Linked DNA regions of Chlamydomonas reinhardtii. The protein of the gene in region 1 interacts with the protein of each later gene in a pairwise test. Links are inferred from orthologs where the notes say so. Each region holds a gene or a part of one and is shown in the gene's direction. Other genes may lie near its edges.

Region 1 (12,587 bases):
GCGGAGGCCTGTACGGCGCGTCTGGTCCCAGCTACCTGATGGCGTACCACGTGTACCAGAAGCACCTGGAGGGTTTGCTATACGAGCAGGCGCGTGAGGACGTGCAGCAGCTGTCGCTCGGCTACTTCCGTGGCATGGCGGAGGCGGAGGGCGGCTTCCTGCAGGTAGGTGCGGGCGTACAGTGTACGGCAGGGTGCGGGTAGCTAGGGCATGGTGGTGCCGCATGGCGGTGTGGCTTCACTGCTTAGTTTTGGTGCTTCGTGCCGGCGGCTACACGCACGTCCCTCGCATGGGCTGTTTGCAGGGATAGGATGCAACCACCGGTCATGGGCATTGCTGACTGTTTGCCCGGTGTGTGTGTGTGTGTGTGTCCCGGATGCCAGGTGGCTGCCTCGCCGCTGGAGGTTGGGTCGGCGCTGGTGCTGGCAGCCTCCTGCGCCGTGAACGGCCGCTACCTGAGAGACCTGAAGCTCAGCACGCGCGGCGCCGTGCTGCGGGAGCAGTTCCCGCAGCGCCTGCCGCCGGCCATGCCGCTGGGCGAGCCGGTCACACTGCTGGTGCGGCTGACCAAGATGCAGGTGCGTGAGTGTATGTGCATATGTGTGTGTGTGTGCATATGTGGGCTGCAGCGCGTGTGCTAAGGGCAAACGTAGGCGCTGCTCAACAACGACAGTGCCTGTCGCCTTCGTTCACTGTATTTCTGACATGCGTGTGATGTGTGGATTCGCCACGTGCAGCCTGGAGCCGCGCTGGTGCTGGCGGGGCGCTGGCCCAATGGCTCACGGACGCAAGTGGAGGTGTCGGTGGACCCGCGGCTGCGGACGACCGGGCAGCTGCTGCCGCTGCTCTGCGCGCTGGGGTAGGTCAAGCCCCAGAAGAGTCAGTGCTCAAACTACACAGTCGCAAGCTGCAAGGGCGGAAACACGGCCCGACCACCTGGCCACTGCTAATCTTCTTTTGCCTATGCGTGCAGGGAGGTGTCTTCGCTGCTGAAGCAGCTCCCGCCGCCTCCACCGGCCGGCGGCTTCCGGCCCGGCAACGACGCAGCCAGCATGCGCCGCAGCGGCGGCCTGTCCCAACAGCAGCAGCAACAGCAGCTCACTCAGGAGCAGCAGGAGGCGCTGCTCAGGGCGCAGCTGGGCACGCCCAAGCAGCAGGCGGCGCGGAAGCGGGCCATCGAGAGGTGCCGGGCCTTCAATTTGGTGACCACGCTGACGCAGATGTCCATGGTGGGTACCCTCCCGCATTTCCGCAGGCATTCCCTCCATATCCACTCCAGAAGTTCTCAAGCACGCTATGGCGGAGTGTCATGCACGGTCATTAAGCGTGCCCGTTACCTGGTCACACATGGCTGCCTTGTGATCTTGTTGCGAACGCAGGTGACCATGACGCTGGCTCGCGGTCGTGGCCTGTCCATGCACACACACCAAAACAACGCCAACAGCCGACACGACCCCCGCGCCAACTTCTTCTGGCCTTCGCCCATCCTGTCAGTGCTGTCTGCGGCTGCACGCGAGGCGTATGCGGCAGGGCCCGGCGCACAGCTGCAGCAACAACAGCAGCAGCAACAGCAGCAGCAGCAGCACGGTGGGCCTAACGGCATGGCGGCCGGCGCCACCACGCCCTTCGTGGCGCCGCCCAACGCCGCAGCTGCTGCAGCCCACGCGCCGCTGTCGAAGGTGTCATCCCACCATCTGATCACATTCCAGGACCCGCCACCGCAGTTGTCGGCGTCACTGTCGCTGGCGGGGATTGAGCTGCCTGGCGGCATCAAAGGGCTTCCAACCGGGCACATGACGCTGACCGCCAAGGCACCAGGCGCGCCCTCACGCGCGTCGTCTTCCTCCCTGCAGCCGCCGCCGCCGCTGCCCCAGCACACCGGCTCCCAGCACGCCATCTCACCCGACCCCTCTGCGCCGGGAGCGCCAGATGACACAGGCTCCGAAGCCTCCTCAGCGCGCCCCTCCCTCGCCCAGGTCGCCGGCGACACCATGGCCGGGCCGCAACCAGGCGGCACCGCGCCTGTGCCGTTGCTGCAGCAGTCCTCGCTTGCCTCCCTCAAGTCCGAGGCCACAGCAGCTACCCTGACCTCGGATGCCTCGGACACAGAAAGCCGCGCCGGCGGCTCCGCCCGTGTCAGGACGCCCAGCCGCGCCGCGGCGCGGCGGCGGTCGCTGGTGCTGCTGGAGCAGACGACGCAGATGACGGCCCTGCGCATGTCGGCTCTGGGTATCCCGGCATATCTGCCGGATGGCGGCACACGTAGTCCTGACATGATTTCAGCAAGTGGCGGCGTAGGCGGAGGGCACGGTGCGCCCCGCCTGTCCAACTCAGGCACCCTGCACTTCGGCGGCACCGTCAGTCGACGCGGCAGCGCCATCAGCGGCATGGACGCGGCGGCGGCTCAGCACCAGCTCGCGGCGGCGCGGCTGTCCAATGTGTCTGCAACGTCATCTGCAGCGGAGTGGCGAGCGCCGCCCACGCAGGACGGTGCACAGTCAGATGAGGCTCAAGAGCCCCGCAGCGAGCCCCAGCAGCTGCTCAGCCCGCCTCTGCCCACGGCTAGGAACCTGGCGCCCGCGGGCGCGCTGCCGCCTCTGGCCCCAGCGCCTGCTGCCAGCAGCCGGCCGCAGCCGACCCCCAGCCCGCAGACTCTGCATCTGCAGGCGTCCTACGCCTCGCACCAGATGTCTTCAGAGCAGTCCAAGACGCCCACTGTGCCCATCGGGCCGCCCATGACGGCAACGGCCGCCGCCGCTGCCCACCAGCTGACAGTGCTGGGCCAGCTGGCGGCGCTGCAGCGGGCTGACGGCAGCTGGCCGCCGGACGCGGTGTTGGAGGAGCTGGTGGTCAGCAACGGCCGCAACCTGGATGTGCCCGTCATGGGTGAGTGGAGTGGCGGGACGGGATGACTTGCAGGTTTTGCAAGGGGGGATGGTACTGGCAAGGCCACGGCCCTGGCTGCAGCTTTGGTTGGGCTGGTTAGCTGTATGGCATCGTGCAGGCCTGCATGAACACCGCCGCTGTAACATCACACATGCGTTGGAGCAACGCGTGCATGTTTGCTGTTCCCATCTATGCAGGTGGGCCCAAGCCCCAAACCGGGGCGCAGCGGCATGAGGCCATTGCACGTGAGGCGCGGGCTAGGGAGGAGCTTGAGGGCTTACGCGAGCACGCTCTACGCGGCGCGGTGCGCGGTGCGCTCTGGTCCACGCTGCTGGCGCTGGCCCTGCTGCGCACACGCTACGCAGCTGCCCGGCTAGCCTGGATCCCATTGGAGGCTCGGGCGTTTGCATGGCTTGAGGGCGTGTGGCCGCCGCCAACCATATGCCCGCTGTCGCCTGCTTCGGCAATCCTGCGCATCTCCGCGCTGCTGGTTTAGGCAGCAGCATGTGTACGGTACGTGTGTGTGAGTATGAATGTGTATGTGTGTGTGTGTGTGTGTGTGTGTGTGTGTGTGTGTGTGTGTGTGTGTGTGTGTGTGTGTGTGTGTGTGTGTGTGCTTCGTGTGTAGTCGGCCTAATGCACGCGGCGGTCGGGAGCGCAGGTGTGTACTTGGGCGCGCACGTATTACCGGAACTGAATAACCTGGAGTAACTGTGTGAGCGTCGGCAGACTTGGGTCGCACTCGACACTGACAGCACTTGGAATAAGCTGCATGGCGATACGGCGAATGTAGGGCCATAAGAGGATTGGGAAGGTGGTGTTGGGTGATTGACGTACAAGGTGGGGTGTCGGCATGCTTTGGAACTGCAGCCTGGACTGACAGCATGACCTACATGCCAGCATTGTTAATAATACTGCCGGCGGCAGTATGTCGAACCAGTCACCGGTCAGGGTGGGAAAGGTTGGATGCCATGTTTTGTTGCGGCATCCAGGATTCCCGTCTTGCTTGTGACACGGAGACTTGTGGTTGTAACATTGCCGCGCTGACTTGCTCCACAACTGTAAGCCATGTTTATATGCCATGCAAATCAAGGGCTGTGGCGCCTGCAGCCCTATCCGTCAACTCGTCAAGGCTGTAGCCTTCAGGGGCGTAGGGACGCCGCACGTCGAGCACGTTACTCGCACGTCCCGTGGCGGTGGCAGGTGCGCTGCGTCATACCGGTACTCTCGGGATTTGTGAGTTTGTGCTGCGTCGCATCTCATTTATTTCTAGTGCATGTGCCCTGCAGAAATCAGGAACGCGCCCCTGTCCGGGCCAGGCACGCTCCCGGGCTTGGTCCACGGTGCTGACTGCCCGTCAGTGCTATCCAGGCTATCCTGTGCTATCGACGACGCCTGCCCGTACCTCCGTGCCATACCTGCAGTGCATAGTTGCACGAGCACGGAGCCCTGCCCACCACATATGTGGCGATGCAGGTATGCGAGGATGCAGCAAGACTGTGTGCGGGCCGGGGGGACCAGATCGTCAAGGCCGTGCATGGATTGTGGCAGCCGGCGCGCCCCCATAATTGTTATCACGACGCATACGCTAAGACATACCGACTGTACATTATATGACTCGGTAACGGCTTGTGGCCAGGTGACTGTCACATAAATTGCGCGTAGACCCGGTTAGAGGTCGCCAGCTGCTCTGCAAGTCTCGTCGACTGCTTTTATCTCATCGCTAGCTTTGCGGCGGGGGCCCCAGGGCCCTGCGCTTGCGTCGCCGCCCACATTTGGTGTAGTCTTCGGGAGCGGACCGAGCAGCAGCAATGGCGGAAACACTGCTGGAGCAGACCCGTGGTATGCATAGATTTCATGCCAGCGAAGGTGTCTCGCCGCGCGCGATGTATGCATCACCACCTTTCCGCGCTGCGCAGGTCTCCACGAGGACATGGAGCACTTTGAGCGGGTCATATGCAAGGACCTTAAGCAGGAGACGAAATCTCATAAAGATAAGCTCTTCCAGTCGCATCGTGTGCGGAAGCGGCTTGACCAGATCCAGGAGTCAGCTCGCAAGCTGGTGAGATACTGCTGAAACACAGGGTGCTTACAGCAAGAGGAGGCAAGAGGGATCCTGCGGAGTGCCGGGGGCTCGCAGAGTGGGGCCAGTTCGGCGGGGGTGTCCGGGTGAGTGTGCCTGGGAGTACCCACCGCCACAGCCGCGGGCGACAAGGGCTGTGGCAAACCAGGGCCGCGCAAACCTGTGGATGTGCAGATTAAGATCTACGAGGATGAGGACAAGGCTCGGAAGGAGGAGATTGAGGCGCTGGGCGGTGAGGACAAGGTGTTCAGCAAGTTCTATGACCGCCTGAAGGAAATCCGCGAGTACCACCGCAAGTTCCCCAACCACGAGCTCACTGAGGTGCGCAACAGGGGCGGGGCCACAGGCTAAGACAAGCTATACCCCTCGCTAAGTTTCCCGCCTCCGCGCCGTCCCTCCACACACCGTGCCCTCCTCTGCCCACAAGCCCGCCTTCGACCTCACCCCTCGCCCTCACGCCGCCCACCCCACTCCAACCCCGCACGATCTCCTCTACCTTCCCCAACCCCACTCCCCAACCCCAGGCCGAGGACGACACACCACTGCTGAAGGAGGAGCCGCACGTGGAGTTCACGGGCGAGGAGGGCCTGGGCCGATACCTGGACCTGCACGACCTCTACCAGCGCTTCTGCAACCTGCGCCAGCAGCAGCAAGCCGGAAAGGGCGGGAAGAAGGGCAAGGGTGGGGCGGGGGCGGACGACGACGGCGCCATCACGCGGGTGGACGGCGACGGGGCGGAGGTGGCGGAGGGGGGCGCGGGCGGGGCTCCGGAGAAGTCGCTCGAGTACTACGAGTACCTCACCAGCTTCTCGGACTTCAGCAGCCTGCCGCGGGCGCAGCGGATGAGCAAGGGCTTCAGGTGGGTAGGGGCCGGAGGTGGGGGCGGGAGGGGGGGCTTGTACGGGGGCTACTGTGGTGTGCGTCCCAGGGGAGGGGCCTGCGGCCGACAACCTGCAAGACAAAGCGGGCCAGGATAAGTCTGCAGATGTACCTCCGCCATCCCCGTTATTACACAGTTACCTACGGTACGCGCTCTTCCCTCTCGCTCCCCTGCAGCGAGTACCTGGAGGCGCTGCTGGCCTACCTCACCGGCTTCTACGAGCGGACGCAGCCGCTGGCGCAGCTGGGGCGCACCCTGACAAAGGTGGGAGTCCGCCGGCAGGAGGGGAGTTGGCGTGGGCGGGGTATGCGGGCCCGGTCGGGCAAAGCAGCACCGTGGCTGCTTTGGGTCGGGTGGGTTAGGAGTGGGATGGGCGGGTGAATTTATACCTGACTAAGGGGGCTGAGCGGTCAGATGTGCTTGTGTGTGGATGCGGCAGGCATTGTGGTCGGTTCACGCTTCAGCGCGGCCCATGCACAAGTGCTCGGTACCACCGCCTCGGCGCACGCTCACCGCATCCCTCGCAGGTGGAGGAGGAGTTCGCGCCGCGCTGGGAGGCGGGCCAGGTGGCGGGCTGGGAGGACCGCGGCGTGCCGGCGGCGCCGTCCGCCAGCGGCCTGGAGCTGGAGGCGTTCAGCAGCGCTGAGGAGCTGGAGATCCTGGGGGCGGACCGGCTGAAGGAGGCGCTGACGCAGCTGGGGCTCAAGTGCGGAGGCACCACCAAGGACCGCGCGGCGCGGCTGTGGCTGACGCGCGACACGCCGCTGGAGAAGCTGGACCGCAAGCACTTCGCCAAGGGCGTGGTGCCGCCCTGCGTGGCGGCCGACCCCGCCGCCGCCGCCAAAGCCACGGCGCAGGCGCGCGCGGTAGGTGCCGGGCAGTTGCTGGGATGCTGCTGCTGATGGGTGGGGTGGGGGCAGACGGAAAGGGGGTGAAGGTGGTATGGGTTGGGCGCGAGTCCGCCTCCAGTCTCTTTAACCACTGCCTCGGGTGCTAAGTGCAAGCGCGGGCCGGGTTTCTGGGGCAGCCGATCCCCACTCTCGTGTACTCTTGTACGCCGCATGATGGTGATGCCGTGTCGCCGCCCACCGTCCTCACACGCCTCTTCGTGCCCCCTCCCAGGTTGCGCTGCTGGAGGTGAAGGTCCGCAAGATGGCGGAGCTGTTGGTGAACGTGATTGCTGACACCAAGGGCAAGGTGGAGAAGAAGCAGGCGCAGACGTACGAGGAGATGCAGGTGAGGTCCGCCGGCCCAGCTCGGAAGAGCTTTCGGCACCTGCTTACGCTGCCGACCCAGCGCTGTCCTTAATGCTGCATGCCCCTCACCCGCCGGCCCCCTCGCCTGCCGCAACCCCAACGGTCCGCTCCCTCCGGTCGCTTCCTCCCTGCGCACAGGCCGAGCTTGCGGAGGCGGAGGCGGAGGTGGCGGCGCCGGACGACGAGGAGGAGGACGACTTCGTCTACAACCCGCTCAAGCTGCCGCTGGGCTGGGACGGCAAACCCATCCCCTACTGGCTGTACAAGCTGCATGGCCTCAACCAGGAGTTCAAGTGCGAGATTTGCGGCAACCAGTCCTACTGGGGCCGCAGGGCGTACGAGAAGCACTTCAAGGAGTACAAGCACCAGCAGGGCATGCGCTCGCTGGGCATCCCCAACAACAAGATGTTCTACGAGGTGACCAAGATTGAGGACGCGCTGCAGCTGTGGAAGAGCATCCAGGTGCGGCGGATAGGGCGCGCAGGGAGAGGGGTTGAGGGAAGGGGGGGCGGTACCGGCTTGTGTGCGCGTATGGGCGCCCTCGGTGACCTCAACAGGTGGCCTCCCTCTACACAGAATTATAGGTTGACACCCTCGCGTATGGACACCTCTCCACGCATCCCCATTCTAAGTAGACATGCGTATAATCCCCACGCAACCCTCCCCCTTCCCCTTTAACCTGATTTTGTTTAGTTTGAGTTTCTGTATTTACACCCCTCCTACCCCCCCCCATAAGTATTATCGCTCGCAACTAACGCCTCTGCCTGCACTCCCGTTTTCGTTGGTTTTGGTTTAGTTTGGGCTGGTATTTATAACCCCCCCCCCCCCCCGCTCGTGCAGGACAAGGCCAAGGGCGACTTCAAGCCGGACGACGAGGAGTTTGAGGACGCCTCCGGCAATGTGTACAGCAAGAAGACGTACGAGGACCTGCGCCGCCAGGGACTCATCTGAGCAGCAGGCGCAGCGAGGGCAGGCAGGTGGAGTGCACGGGACGGGATGGCGTGAGCGTTGGTGCAGGAAGAGGGGTCGAGGAGGAGCAGGCAGAGCAGGAGAAGAGAGCGAATGTGGCATGCGGTACATGTTCATGGCCGTGTTCTTGGTCTCGAGTTCTGTCAGGTGGCGGGTACTGAGAGCGCTTTGGTCGCTTGGCGCTGTCCGGTGGTGTGCGTTGGGACTGTGTTGACAGGCTTGGTGTGGGCCGCTTTGTATACTGTCGTGCACGGTGTGTCTGCGTGGTGCTATCGCCTATCGCCTGGCCGGGCATGAAGAATGCGCGTCAGCAAACTTCCAGCCAGCTAGCAACTTGTCGGTACAGTATCTCCGGCGTTCGACCAGCCGCGCGCTCCTGCACTGCATTCCGTCGACCATGGCCAGCCGGAATGCGGATGGGGTACACCGCTTGGCCATGGCGGGCGCACAGGTGCGCCTGGCTAATACAGACAGACGTCAAAGTTTCATTTCAGCACAGCTTATCCGACGCGTACGCCGGTGTACAAGAAAAACAAACTATTTAACAGGAGCGTGGTGAAGGTGCGATGGGATGTGTTGTTTCGACTTCAGCAAATGGCAACGAAAGGCATGGATTGCAACCGCATCGAGCCCCTGCTTGGAAGCCCATGGAGTTCTGGTCCGTTGAGGTGAGTCCAGTGTTCCCTAGTCATGGAGGTGTAACTAGAATACCAAGGTGTTCTGCAGGAGGTAAATTACTGGCTTTCTACGCTGCCAAGTATTGACAACGTGCACTATGCGACTTTACTTGCGCCCTTGGATGAGGGCTGCGTGCTTGCAAACGTCTGGAGCGTGGAGGTAAGTTTATTACTTGTCTAAATGGAACGTATGAGTTTCAAAATTGAGTTGGCATAGGTCTGCGACTTGACGCTCACCTGACGCCCCCCCTCGCACGCACAGCACCTTGTGGCGCGGGGGGTCCACAGGGTTCACGCCGTGCGCCTGATCGCGTACCGAGATCAGGCGCGCTTGCGTACACCTGCAGGAAAGCCCTTGGAGGACTGGGATACAAAAGTGAGACCACGCAAACGTAACCCGGTTGTGCAGGGGCCGCGCCCTGCTGCCCCGGGCTTCACGAGTGCAATGTGCTGCTGTTGTTGACAGGATGTCTCCAACTGGTTTGACACGCTGCCGGCGGACTTGGCGCTACACGCACCAGTGCTGGCCCATGACGAGGGTTGTGTCCTCGCTGGCGTCTGGAGCTTGGAGGTATGAGCTTTGGTCCTAGGCGTACGGCAGCTGTGTGTGGGGGGAGGGGGGGAGAGGGGTCGCCAGCCAGGGTGGGTGTGAAGACGAGCCTAAGCTAAAGCAAGCGGAGTTTGCTGGCTGCACTCTTCGGAGCGTTGTTTCCCTTGCACCATGACGGCGTTTACGCTGCCGCCTTGTAACCCGCATTCGCCTAGCATACCGTACTAAAGCATGTACTGGGGTTTTAACTTAACTGGCAAACTTGGGCCCTCTTTGAATCTGCCCGCCCCCCACAGTACCTCGTGCGGAGAGGGCTTCCGCCGGACGACGCTGCTCGCCTCGTTGCCTACCGAGACAAAGTGGCAAGGCTGACGTCGCGGATTTTGGTGCCGAGCTATGTGACTTTCGCCGATGAACGCGGTACTGGCGGGGCCAGCACCTCAAGGCTATCCAATGCCGCTGTAGGCGCTGCGGCCTCTGTGACCGCCGTGCCCAACTCACTTGCAGCAGCAACGGCAGCAGCAGCGATACCAGCAGCAGTAGCCCCTTCGTCCGCAGCCGTTACGCTCGCAGCAGAGTGCCTCATAGCAGATGGGGACGATGAGGTGCCCCTCAAACAAAGCACGCAGCAGGCGGAAAGCACGCAGGCGGACGAAGTGCAGTTAGATGTGCATCTGGAGGCCGCCGCAAATGAACCGGGCAAGGGGAAGAAGCTGAAGGTGGGTGAGCCTCCAGCCGAGATGCCTTCCTGTAGACGCCCGGCTCTTCTGACCAACGGCCACCCAACCGCAGGCTCTTGCCAAGCAGGGCGTTGCAGTTGCACGAGTAGTTCTTGAGCGAGTGGGGCCAGCACTTCCGTTTGGAGGTATGTATGAAAGCGCGCAGGATTGCATGGCCCCACTTGTCCTGTTGGACACGTACGGCTCTGCAACATATGCCTTGCTCCATCGTGTCCCTTCTTTCTTTGACCTAACTTCCCACCCACACCCGGCTCACCCTCTGTCGTCCTCCTACGCTGTCCTACGCCACTCATCAGGCGCCGAGGCAGCCAACCTGATTCTTCAGGTATTCAGGCAGCGGATGATGAGTGGAGTCCTCGCCCATCGCGTCCTGGAATTATATAAGCAACCTTCCCATCCCTGCACCTGGAATTTTATTAAGCAACCTTGCTTCGTAGCCAGCAGAGGGATTGCACTGCGCTTGCTCCTGCTGCTGCTGCATGCCCTGCTGCCGTGGCCATGCCCTGCTGTTTGCCTGCTCGCCCGCCCGCCCAGGTGCTTGACGCAGTGGAGGCCGCGGTGGCCAACGCCGCCAACCTACGCCAGCTGGCGGAGCGGGCGCTGACGGTGATGGATGTGCTGCAGGCGTATGCGGAGCAGCTGCGCGGGCTGCAGCGCCGCCGCCGCCAGGACGGCGACCGGGGGGACGGCTGCCGCAAGATTGTCAGCCGCTTCCAGGACCATTTGCGGGTAGGTAGGCAACGCGGCAGGGCGGTGGGCGGTATCAAACCATGCGCACACAATCAATCTAACAGCTTTAACAGCCTTGAGATTCTGGAAACGTGTGAACCCTCAACCCCAACAGCATGTCTGGCATGAGCCCGCACGCGCCCGGCCCATCACATACACACGCACCCAGGGCATCCTGGGCTATGCCCGAGAGTACGCCAGCCGTAACTGCCTGGTCCGGCTGTTTACCTCGGCGGGAGACGCGGAGCGGTTCCAGGAGTATGTGGAGGAGCTGAGGCGGCTGGGCGAGGATCTGCGACTGTTGCTGGCAGTGGACAGCAATGCGCGGCTGCACGCGGTGCAGGCGAGCATGGCGGCATCACTGGCGGTGCTGAGCGAGCAGCGCGTGGCTTATCAGGTAGGCGGGGGAGGGTGGGGCCAGCTTGCTTGCCTGCCTACTCTGCGCAGTTAGGTGGGGGTCTCTGCGCGTTGGGAATGGGTGTCTGGGAAGTGCAGTTCCGTATGCGGTGCTGCCAGTCACTGCAAATCGCGCTTCTGTCGATCCTGGCAATCCTTTCTCTCACCCTCTCATACTGCTGTTTGATCTGTGCACGTGCCCGTGTCCATATCCACCCGCGTACGGCGAACGGCCGCACCCACAGGACCCGGCGGCGGAGGCTCGCGCGCTGGTGACACAGCTGGGCGGCATGGACGCGGTACTGGCCGACGCCGGCAAGCTGGGTGCGGTGATGCAGAAGATGGACGTCAGCGCGCGCATCACCATCGACGTGGTGCGTGCTGGGCAGCTCGCCTGGGCTCGTCCGTCCGCCTGCCTGCCTGCCTGCCAGCCTGCCGTGTATCCATTCATTCGTGCCCTCACGCCCGCACCCTGCCCTGCACCTCGCACCCCACGCCACCTGCTGCCTGCAGGTGTCCTCGCTGCTGCGCTCGCACCTGGACCGCGGGCCGCAGCGCCACATCCAGCAGCCCGAGCTGCGCCTCTTCTGGGCGCACCACTTTGGCGACCTGCCCGAGGTGCCCTGGTTCGTGTTCTGGGACTGCTTCCCCAGCCTGCTGGCGCAGCTGCCGGGGTCGCCCTTTGACGCCGGCGCCGTGGCGGAGCTGGGCCGGCTGCTGGGCGACCAGGCGGCGCAGGCGGCGTTCCAGCGGGCGGTAGAGCGGAGAAAGGCCGACACGGTCAGCGTGTGGGAACTGCGGCTGTCATTCCGCGCCGACGACGCGCTGGTGCCGCAGATTGCCGAGCTCCTTGGCAGCCGCAGCAGTGGGCAGAGCGGCAAGGGTGACTTGAGCGGCGGTGATGCGGATACCAGTGCTAGTAGGGATGGGGGTGGTGCAGCCCTGCTGTCGGCGGCGTTAGCAGGTGGCCGGGCTTGGGAGCGCTGCCAGCTACCGCCGCTACCCCGTGCCTACCAGGGGCGAGATGACGAGGCCGCTGAAATAATGACGTACCTCACCGGAACCGCCAGCACACACAGGGGCAGCGGGCGCAGCAGCAACGGCGGATGCAGCACCTGCAGCAGCCAGGGCAGCGGCTCCTCTGTGCTGCTGCTTGCTGAGGGAGGCATGGGCAAGTCGTGTCTGGCGGCGGACGTGGGCTGGCGGCTGCTGCGGGCCGGCAAGGCGCCTGGCGGCGTGCTGTGGGTGGACCTGCGGGAGGCAGACAGCCCAGAGGAGGTGGAGGCGCGGTTCTGTGCCGCGGTAGGGCTGCAGCGGGAGCCCGCGGCGGTGAGCAACTTGCCCCGGGTCGTGGCCGCGCTCCAGCGCATGGCAGCTGACGGCTCGCAGCAGCAGCAGCAGCAGCAGCAGCAGCAGCAGCA
Region 2 (10,260 bases), on another chromosome or scaffold:
GGTGGGGGGGCTTGTCAGGTGCAAAGCGCAGCCGAAGCCCACGTATGCGCGACACGGTACACGAGCATGACCAACTGAACCAAGTCATGGACCCAGGCACTCACATGCATGCAAGCACGCACGCACGCACCTCAATTGCCGCCCTGCCACCCAACATGCGGAGGACATGTTCCCCACCCAACACCCTGCATCCTCTCTTTGCATGCCACGACACCCATCCACCTACCCATCCACCATTAAGTTCGGTTTAGTTTGGACTGGTAATTACAACCCGACCACCCACCTGTCCTGCCCCGTACATGCGCCGGAGGTCGTCGGTCAGACCCACCAGCACGCCCGCACGCTGCAACCGCCGCAGCCCGTGCCCGAAGTCCGCCAGCCGCCTGCACGGTTGCAAGATGGGGCGGGGCGGGGGGTGCATTCATGATTACGGTAGTTAAGGAAGTGGTAGACGGGGGCGCGGGGCGGGGCGGGGCGGGGCGGGGCGGCGAAGTGCCCTGTATCCCAGGGGCGGCAGGGAGGCGCCACGTGTCGCGCTGCACAGCACAGCAGCTGCCTTCCACCACAGCACCTACAGCACACACACTGCTGAGCCTACTGACACGAGCACGCCTGCATCACATATCCAGGCGACGCCACGCAAGAGCATTTACGGTACTCGTACAGGTACGAGTGCATCTGCTCGCTTCACGTGTGCGTCTGCAATTGCATGGGTGGTTGCATCTGTGGTTGTGCTAACCCCCACAGCCGCGCCGCGCCGCCGCCGCGCCACCCGCCGCCGCCGCGCCACTCACTGCGCCACCACCGCCTGGTGCGCCTCCAGCAGCCGCCCAAACGCCGCCGCCGCTCCGCCGCCGCCGGCCACCGCCTCCTCCAGTCGTTGCAGGCTGGAGCGCAGGGCAGACGCGTGGGCATAGTCCTGTGGCGGTGTCGGGTGGGTACTTAACTACAATCCCAAAGAAAGAAGACCCAGGGACGAGCCCACAGAACGCGTAGGAGGTTTGGGAGATCACAAAAGTTGAAGTTGAAGATCAAGGACTTTGGTGCACCTCTGAAACAACGGACCGAAAATTGCATTGCACGGGGATGACACAGCAACACCACGGGGCCGTGGGAAGGACAAAGGGCGCCTTGCTCTGACTCACACCGACCGACCCCCGTCATCCGCAATCTCTGGAACGCGCTGGCTCACCCCGCGCCCCACACATGCCCCACATTCCCAAACATGCCCCACCCCCCACAAACCGACAAACCCCTCACACACCATGACAGCATGGCCCCCTGCCCCACCTGCAGCTGCAGCGCCACCGCCAGCTGGCCCCGCAGCAGCTCCGCCTCCGCGGCCGCCGCCGCCGCCAGGCTGTCGGCGGCGGTTAGGTTACGGACCAGGCCAGCGGCGTCAGTCAGTACGGCGCGGTTGGCGGCCCTGTGTACGAAGCGTATAAATGCGCGGAATGGCAACGGCACAGGCAGTTGGTTGCACAATAATGGCAGTCAGCTATGACACTGCTTGCCGCGTGCCGTTTGGCATGACGTGTTGGTGCCATGCTGGACAGTCAAACCTCAAAACATCATTGCAGCATGAAGGCTTGGTGGGGACTCCCGCACCTGTGCTCGGCCAGCGCCGCCGCCGCGGCCGACTCCGCCGCCGCCGCGTCCAGGGCCAGGCGCCTCAGCTCCCGCCGCACGTCCGTCTGCTGCGAGTGACGAGACAGCGCCTGCGTGAGTGGCGTCGTAGACAAAACGTTTGGCGCGTCCGGCGAATACGGCGAAACGTGGCGAGTGGCTGTCGTGAGGTGGCCAGTGAACCACATGATTATCTCACCCGAGTTCACCCCGCACCCGTGGTGACGGATCCGAACCCGCCGCACCTGGCCCAGGGCCCGCCGGGCATTGGTGGTGGTGTCCAGACGCGACTGGGGCACACGGGGGACGCCAGGGCATAATGTCGTGGCGAGGCGCCAACCGTGGGCGCCAACGGGCGGAAAGCAGTATTTACTCGCAGGCAACTCGCCTTCAGCCCAGCGCACACACACCCCACCCACCCCCCCACCCCCCACCCCCCACCCACCCCACACACACACTACACACATGCGCACACACACACACAGTTCCACAACGCACGTCCATAACACACACACACACACACACACACACACACACACACACACACACACACACACACACACACACACACACACACACACACCTGCACCTCGGACATTTCCGCCTGCAGCCGGGACAGAGCGCCCGCCGCCGCGGACGACAGCCGGCGCAGCTCCGCCGCCGCTGCCAGCAGCGCCGCCGCCTGCGCCGCCCGCATGCCGCCTTCCGCCTCCGTGAGGCTGTCCAGCCTGCCAGACATGCGTAGACTACATAGGTACGGACAGTCAAGGCAATAAGATTCATGACAGCAGGTGCTATCACCGCTGTGTTTCATCCACTCCCGTGCTTGATTTCCAGTCAGTATCTAATGCCATCACCAACTGACGGTGCTACCCGGCGCCTGCGGCCGTGCCGGTACCATCTATGACATCATCTCAACGCACGGAAGCAACAAAACACCAAAGACACGCACGCACGCAACCTTTCCCGTGTGCTCCCTAAACAGGCACGCGCCCCTTGCCCAGGTGGTGCTTTCCTAACTTCCACACACAAACACACACACACACACACTCTCTCTCTCTCTCTTTGCGAGATGTTTTCCCTATGCCCTTAAACAAACAAACACACACACACACATAAACACACACGCGTACGACACACGCACGCACCTGTCCGCTGACGACCTGGCCGCGGCCTCCAGGCTCTCCGCCTCCGCCTCCAGTCCGTCCAGCTGTAGCCGCAGCGCCGCCGCAGCGCCGTAGTCACCTGCGGCCGCCGCCGCGTCGCGCCGGGCGTCCAGCAGCCGCTGCTGCTGCCTGCGGGGCGGGCGGGTAAGGGAGGACAGGGAGGGGAGGGGTTGAATGCCCGAGCCCAACGAAACAGGGAGGCGTGGGAGGTTTGTTGCTGCGGACGCAGGGGTCGGGCCTTTCCTGGGCACGCAGGGGCATGCGGTGGCGTACGTACGACACCGTACCTGACGTCGTCCAAGTGCTTCCGCAACCGCGCCGCCGCGCTCTCCGCCGCCGCCCGCAGCCGCGCCGCCGCCGCCAGGTCTACAGCCGTGGCGGCCGACTGTACACGCAGCGCCTGTGAAGTCGTGGTTTGTGGTGGTGTGGGCGTGAGGGCATGCACTCGCCCTCTTCTGATTAGGAATTATACGCTCCCTCGTGTTGTTTGACGACAGGTGAACGGACTGTCCTGCTGCTGGCAAAGCCGCCAGCCTCCCGTGCACAAACCACGCCACCTTTGATCATCACTATCACCCGGTCAGTTGCATGCACCACCAGACCACCAGACCACCCGCCATCCCGCCCCCACCTGCACTACAGGCTCCACCAGACCAGAGATGGACCAGCCGCCCAGAGCTGCTGCCGGTGCCTGCCGTGGTCCGGCAAGACCACCAACCGCGGCAGCTGCAGGCGGCTGCTGACCCACCACGGGTGGCGGCGGCGGCGGCGGCTGTGGCAGCGGCGGCGGAGGCGGCGGCGGCGGAGGCGGCGGCGGCAGGTGCACTCCTGTTTTGGAGACCCCTTGTATCCCAGCCCGCTCGTCGATGCTGGGTGTCGACGCGGGCTGCTGCTGCACCAGGTCGACCTGCAGGTGTGGCGCCCCGAGCAGAGCAGCACCCAGGACGCCCTCCACGGCACCGCCACTTATGACAGCAGCGCCGTGGAAGCCGCCGCCCATGCCAGCGGCCGTGTGCTCTTCTGCAAAAGGGCACTCCGGGCCGCCGATGGGACATCCCACTTGTTCCGCCGCCACCTGATCCGGCTGCAGCTGCAGCTGGTGCTGGTGCTGCGGTGGCGGCGGCTGGCCCGTCTGCGGCAACACGCCGCCGCCAAAGGTGTACGGCGCTGCCTCCTCCGCCGAAACCGGTGGCGGCTGAGGCTGCCTGTGAGCCCCAGCAGCGGCGGCGGCGGCGGCAGCGGCGGCGGCGGCGGCGGCAGCGGCAGCGGCGTCTATGGTGAGGCTAGGCGCCCAGCTGCCGGGCCCGGCTCCGGCTCCCGCTCCGGCTTCCGCTCCAGCTCCAGCTCCTGCTTCCGCCCCTCCTGGCTGCAGCTCTGGGGCCGCCACCAGGTGCCGCCGGGCTTCCTCCTGCGCGCGGTGTGTTTGCGCGATGAAAGTACGGCGCATTGTGAGACTGTGCCGTACTGGCACTGTGGGCAGGTTGAGCATGGTGAAGGAAGAGAGGGAAGAGGGGGAAACAGCGGTGTGTATGTGCGGTGTCACGTACCGGCAGGGCGGTGGTGGGGTGCCCCTGTGTATGTGGCACGCCCGCCAAGAAGAGGTCCGAGGGCGCTGCACGACAGCAGGGGGCACACACATGGGGTTAGGTCACACACGTGGGTCAGGGGCCACGGGGGCAGGGGGGCCCACCACCTCAAAAGGGCACAGATACTTTGCATTCCCCGGCTCCTCTGAATTCCGGAGTTTTCAGGGCCGCCTCCGTCCCAAACCATCAACGACGCACTTTCTTTCTCCCGCCCGCTGTGCCTGTCATCACCTTGCCCGAGCCCACTTGCCCTTCCCCCACGTCTTCCCTGCCCTCCTACTACAGTTCCGAGTCCCCACCCACCACCCACCACCGGCCACCCAGCACCTACGCCCCGGCACCCAGTACCTGGCACCCACCACCTACATCAGTGCACCACCCACTCACCCACCACCCACCCAGTGAGGACAGCGCCAGGAGCACCGGTAGCGCCGCCGCCAGCATGCGGGCCATGCGGGGCCGGCGCCAACCGCGGTCGCGCAGCAGCTGCCAGCCGCCACTCTGCGGCAATACAAAGCGCACAGTTGAATTCGGCACCTATGGACGCCACACTCCCCAACACACACCAAAGCTGGACCCACGGGACAAAAGGGCAGCAGCAGCAGCAACTCACCGCGCTGTCGGCATAGGCCGCCAAGGAGATTCGCCGATACACATACATTCTTTCAATCAGTTTCAGCTTAAGCCAGAAAGACGACGCGCCGAGCCGCGTCGATTGCCGCCTTTGCGCGGTTCTGCGCCGCGCGTTTGCTCGCTCACCAGCCGTAGGCGACAGGGTCTGCTGCCAAAAGCGCAACTTGCCAATTTGCGCTGGGAAAGCGTTGCCCGGGACCGCAGAGCCTGGGGACTGGGGTGAGTCCAAAGGTCAGTCAGAGCTAACGGAGTTTCTATGAAGAGCTTGCAGTGGGCAGACAGTTCAAATGGGCAGTGGTCGTCCTGTTAACATCCCTGGAATTCGGGGCAACAAGGCACGAAACACATCGGGACCGATTCATGGACCCCAACCCTTTTTTCAGCAGGTGCACTCACACAGTCCATATAAGCACACCGGGGAGTTAAAATGGCAGAAGAGACAGGCCGGTCGCAGAGCGGCGCCGAGGCGACGACCAGCGATGCCATCCGATATGTCCAAGTGAGTGGGTCGACCTGGAGCGCAAACACATGCTGATCTTTCAGCCGATTGTATCATGTCCAATTCTTTATGTGGGAGTTTGGCTACCAGGGCGGCGACGACCGCGTGCAAAATGCTGCAAGCTAGATTAGGAGCTGCCTGTTTACCTCGATTTAGTATCCAGTTCTCCATATATGCAAAATGCCGAACACGCAGTACAAAGGCGAGGAGGACCTGCCCATCGTAATGGGCCTGGTCGACAAGGAGCTCAGCGAGCCCTACAGCATCTTCACGTATCGCTACTTTCTGCAGCAATGGCCACACCTATGTTACATTGCATATGACGGTGACAAGCCGTTCGGCACGGTCGTGTGCAAAATGGACATGCACCGGGACCGGGCGCTGCGCGGCTATGTCGCAATGCTCGTGGTTGACAAGGAGTACCGTGGCAAGCGCGTGGGTGAGTGAGTCTGTGTGTGTCTTAGTTGGGTGTAGGGGAGGGAGCGTAGGAGGCGGTGCGGATCGGGCAAGCACTGGCGGTGATGGGGCTTGGGGGGTTCGGCACGCGGCCGTGTTTGCACGTCACGCCTGGCGCACGAAGATCCTGCCGCACGCAATGCATTTCACGAACCCCTCTCCCAAGCTTGACCCCGTCAAACGCCCCGCGCCGCACGCTGCACGCTCAACTCCGCAGGCTCTGAGCTGGTGAAGATGGGGATTCGGGAGATGATTGCGGGCGGCTGCGAGGAGGTGGTGCTGGAGGCGGAGGTCGTAAACACCGGCGCCCTCAAGCTATACCAGGGGCTGGGCTTCGTGCGGGAAAAGCGCCTTCACAGGTGCGAGACTGGGAAGAGGAGGAGACAAATGGATGGGCGGTGCGGGGTGCGGTTGTTCAGGAGGTGGCACTTGGAGAGATAAAGGGAGGGAAGGGACTAGTGATAGGCTGAGCATGCAGTTGTGTGCTGCTGGTGGATGTGGGCTGCGGTACATGGGCTGTACGGAAAAAGTGCGCTGCAGCTGTCGCATGGTTTGGACGCCCCTTCCGTGGACCCGACTGGACACAGTGCGCGTGCTGCGGCCGGCGGCGTGGCGTCAGCCTTCAGGGCGACGCTACTGCTGGCACTTGACTTCCCGAAACCCAGCTGCGCCTGGGTCAGCTGCGCAACACGCACCAACATGGCACACCCCACCTCCAGCTGCGAGTACCGTATTACTAGCTGCGAACTAAGCTCCAGCTCAGTGACTGGCGCGCTTTCATCCGGCTAAGCACACACAGCGCCTCCCCGCCCTGCTTCCCGCCGCCGCCCCTGCCTTGCACAGGTACTACCTGAACGGTGTGGACGCCTACCGCCTCAAGCTGCTGCTGCCGCTGACCGAAGAGAAGAAGGCGGCGCTGGCGGCGGCCGCGGCGGCGGAGGCGGCGGAGCTGGAGGGGGTGGAGCTGGAGGCGGCGGCGGTGGACGCAGGGGCAGTCGCGGCGGCGGCGGAGCCTGCCATTGCGTGAGGGGGTTGTGGAGGCATGCGGTGATGGGGTGTTTGTGCGGTTTCCAGGCAGAGGCAGAGGTGGCGTGGGCGGCGGGCGCGTGTGGCGGCGTGGTGCTGTCCGGGAGCGGTCAGTCGCGGCAGGGGATGAAAGCAACGCCCGGTATCTTCGTTAACATGGTGTATAGGGCGTGGAGGTGGGCCCGGGGCGCGGTTGCGGGTGAGCATACGCGGACAGGCGGGGGTGGAGATTGAAGGCAGTGAGCATTCGGAGGTGGTGGGCGGGGGCGCGGGGCTGTCGTGGCCTGGCCTGGCAGTGGATCACTGAGAAATCCATAATAAAGGCAAAGCAGGTGATCATTGTGCTAGTGTACACGGCAGTCTCCACTGCCCCCCTGACTACAGTCACAACTGTTACACCGGGGTTACACGTGTCGGTTGTGCTCGTGTGTCCTTGCTGGGCATGGATACGCTCGTTAATGACGAGTGTGGTGGGAACGAATGCTCGTATGTTGACAGGCGCGGGTACCCTCTACACAGCAAGTAAAGCAACTCATGCACATGGCCGGACGCCCGGACCTGACGTCGCAATCCCACCATATCGTACGCCAAGCTAAAGTGCTAAACAAGTCGTCAATGCATTCACGCACGTGTGCGGCGTTGTGCTATGTACAGCAATCTGGGTACGGCCGACCTTCGCCAGCGGACTGTAAATCTCCAGGCTATCGGGGGCATCCGAGCGAGGTGACGCTTCGGGCATCTGGCTGCAAATGTACCACCACCTCCAGCCTTGTATCCACAGTCCAACTAGTACGAAACGCAACTTCCGCCTCGTCCATCCTCTTCCCCGGATCCCACGCCCGACGATTCAGTAGCCTTACCAGCCAGAGCCTAGGGGCGGCCCCGCCATGAGCTCTATCTCGCGGCCCATTGTAAAACAGCGGGGGTGCACCCTGCTGGTCCAGTCACCAGCAGCGCTAACGGCATTCGGCGAACGCCAGCACATGAAACCCCACAAAAGACCCGCACATTTGTCAACCGTGTGTGCCCTTCACAGCCTTACCACTTTCACTGAAAGTTAGTAAGACGCAAGGAACCCAACTGAGCACATGACAACTGCGCAGGGAACCACACCGCCAGCTTGCGTATTCGTACAACATCCATCTTCATTACGGCATATCATACATGACGGTCCATACCTATATATTCGTAACGTCGCATATATAATCACACATGACGAAACACAAAACTGCGAAACTTGAATAAAACTGTCGAGCGCGGCGCGGCATCCACCCATGGCGTGAACGTGTATATGGGGGGGGAAGGTGGAGTGAGTCCGCCCGCCATCAATCCCGGTCGTGGGTCCCTCCTGATCCATGTCCCGCCGCGCCCTGTCCAATGGGCCTGCTAGCCTGCTGCGGCTGCTTACAAGCAGCCCCCGCAGGCTTCGCTGGAGGGAAGCCTGCTGGAGGGAAGCATCCCCTTGACAAATGCCAGTCGCACCCACAGCTATCTTCACGCGCAAATAATAATAATAATCCCAACGCTGGCCCATAGGGCCTAGCATGTATTAACGGGGCAACGCCTTCGCTGATCATCTCTCAACCCAGTTCGAGGGAAGGCGGGAAGTCACCACGACTACCTTTCACGCGCAAACATGTGTCGCCGCCCGTCCTGCAACAGAACAACACTGTATGTAAGGGTGATCGCAATCCACGTAACTGACATTCCATGTCAGCAGATTACTCTTGTAACAAACACAATCTAAATGCACAGCGCCAGGATGAGGTCCATTAGTAGAGTCTCTACTCAAGACCAAAAGGAAAGAGAGGCATGCAAGTACCGTAATGATCTGGGCCTGTGGGCCACTGGCGCGCGTGCCGGGCATTCGTACTGCATCAGCGTCACTTCATTAGACTGTATCCCGAAGGGTGAAAGGTTGGACAGCCCGCCAAAACCAGCAAAACCTGCACCACCAGCCGGAATATCAAGTTTGTTAAGCACGTCAAGCTCCTTATACAGCGCATAAAGCACGCCACAACAAGACCAGCTGCATGGCCCCAACTCGCATAGCACCATTGTGGTTCCATAACGCATTAGCACCGAGAAAAAATAGTATAATGTATGTTCTAGGACAGCTCCGACTAACCCCAACTAACTCGTGTACGGCACTCCAAACCCCTCAGCCGTACAGGAGGTAGCGTGGCAGTCGGCAGCTGCGCGAGTCTGAGCAGGTAGTTGTACGGCGGCTCGGCTCGGAAGCTACCTGACTGTAGTGACGCACACGGGCAGTTGGTGCTAGTCGGCAGGCGCGCGAGTGGGAGCTGGCAGTTGAGCGCGCACGCGTGTGGGAAGCTGCGTCTGAGCACGGTGGAGCACGGCGGAGGCTGGCGGTTGGCGCGGCGTGCGAGTGGGACTGCGTAGTCGTGCCCGCGCCGTTTGGGAAGCTGCGTGTGAGCTGTGTGTAAACTCAGAGAGACGCATGGGGCTGACCTGGTTTCCATGAGCTGCCTCTGAGCGCACACGGTTTCACACGGTTGACAGTTGGGCACCAGCGCGGGCGGGATTCGCTGGAGTGCATGGGAGTCGCTGGTGTGCACGCGCGGGCGGGGCGCAGGGGAACTCGGCGGAAACGCGGCGGCAGCATTCCGTCACAAAGAACTAGCACATTACTGCGACATGCTCATGGGCTCAGCGCTGCTGCCAGCGCCGCCAGCGGGCGGCTCAGAACCCACACGCAGCTCCCCGCCCTCCCCGCCCTGACCCGAACCGCCAGCACCTAGCCTCAGCCCTGCATCGATGCGCGACACAACCTGCCGCACGCGACCTGTGCTGCCGCCAGGCGCACGGAGGCGACTGCGGAGGCGGCATGCACGGAGGCGGCTGCTGCAGTGCCTGCACTAGAGGGGCAGGTAGCGCCAGCGCGGGCGGCGGCGGCAGCTCCACGCGCTCATCGCCGTCTCCCAGACCCTCCTCATCACCGCCGTCCGCGGGCGACGGCAGCGGCGGCAGGAGCCCCAGGTCGCCCAGGGGGTTGCTGAGCAACAGCAGCGGCTGGCTAGATCCACAGGCGGCAGCTGCGTTTGAGCGGTAACCCTGTGTGTGTTTGGTTACAAGGTGGTGTGCACGATCGTGCGCGCTATCCTTTCCTTGTAGGACCATTGGCCCGGGCCGGGGGGCCCTATCTCCTGCAACACCCCTCCTGTTCCTACGGGCGCTCCGTTTCCCCGTCTCCACCCAGCCACTGGACTCCACTTCCTGTGACTCCCCTGGACGCAGCAATCAGCCC

The links.
Region 2: the proteins of CHLRE_06g297750v5 (region 1) and CHLRE_14g623800v5 interact in binary tests that used the Arabidopsis thaliana proteins (3 or more experiments, as listed by UniProt). The link is inferred for Chlamydomonas reinhardtii from reciprocal best matches to the Arabidopsis thaliana genes ATO and ATMAK3.

What each region holds. Positions count from the first base shown.
Region 1 is NC_057009.1:7,163,617-7,176,203, reverse strand, and holds CHLRE_06g297750v5 (uncharacterized protein), read left to right. Parts: upstream 1-4,458; 5' UTR 4,459-4,697; coding exon 4,698-4,728; intron 4,729-4,805; coding exon 4,806-4,948; intron 4,949-5,143; coding exon 5,144-5,290; intron 5,291-5,493; coding exon 5,494-5,828; intron 5,829-6,025; coding exon 6,026-6,113; intron 6,114-6,376; coding exon 6,377-6,715; intron 6,716-6,971; coding exon 6,972-7,085; intron 7,086-7,243; coding exon 7,244-7,567; intron 7,568-7,945; coding exon 7,946-8,056; 3' UTR 8,057-8,325; downstream 8,326-12,587. Other genes in the region: CHLRE_06g297800v5 (uncharacterized protein), read left to right, coding at 1-164, 384-578, 738-859, 974-1,229, 1,380-2,886, 3,084-3,382; CHLRE_06g297700v5 (uncharacterized protein), read left to right, coding at 9,713-9,746, 9,809-10,020, 10,094-10,166, 10,338-10,366, 10,576-10,770, 10,940-11,167, 11,412-11,540, 11,680-12,587. UniProt on the Arabidopsis thaliana protein: Splicing factor homolog to SF3a60 that may be involved in pre-spliceosome formation. Is necessary for gametic cell fate determination.
Region 2 is NC_057017.1:2,336,748-2,347,007, forward strand, and holds CHLRE_14g623800v5 (uncharacterized protein), read left to right. Parts: upstream 1-5,332; 5' UTR 5,333-5,438; coding exon 5,439-5,510; intron 5,511-5,705; coding exon 5,706-5,949; intron 5,950-6,183; coding exon 6,184-6,325; intron 6,326-6,809; coding exon 6,810-6,993; 3' UTR 6,994-7,696; downstream 7,697-10,260. Other genes in the region: CHLRE_14g623750v5 (uncharacterized protein), read right to left, coding at 284-383, 795-919, 1,291-1,426, 1,609-1,718, 1,872-1,916, 2,210-2,354, 2,775-2,921, 3,080-3,192 and 3 more. UniProt on the Arabidopsis thaliana protein: Probably required for N-acetylation of some chloroplast precursor proteins and efficient accumulation of thylakoid multiprotein complexes.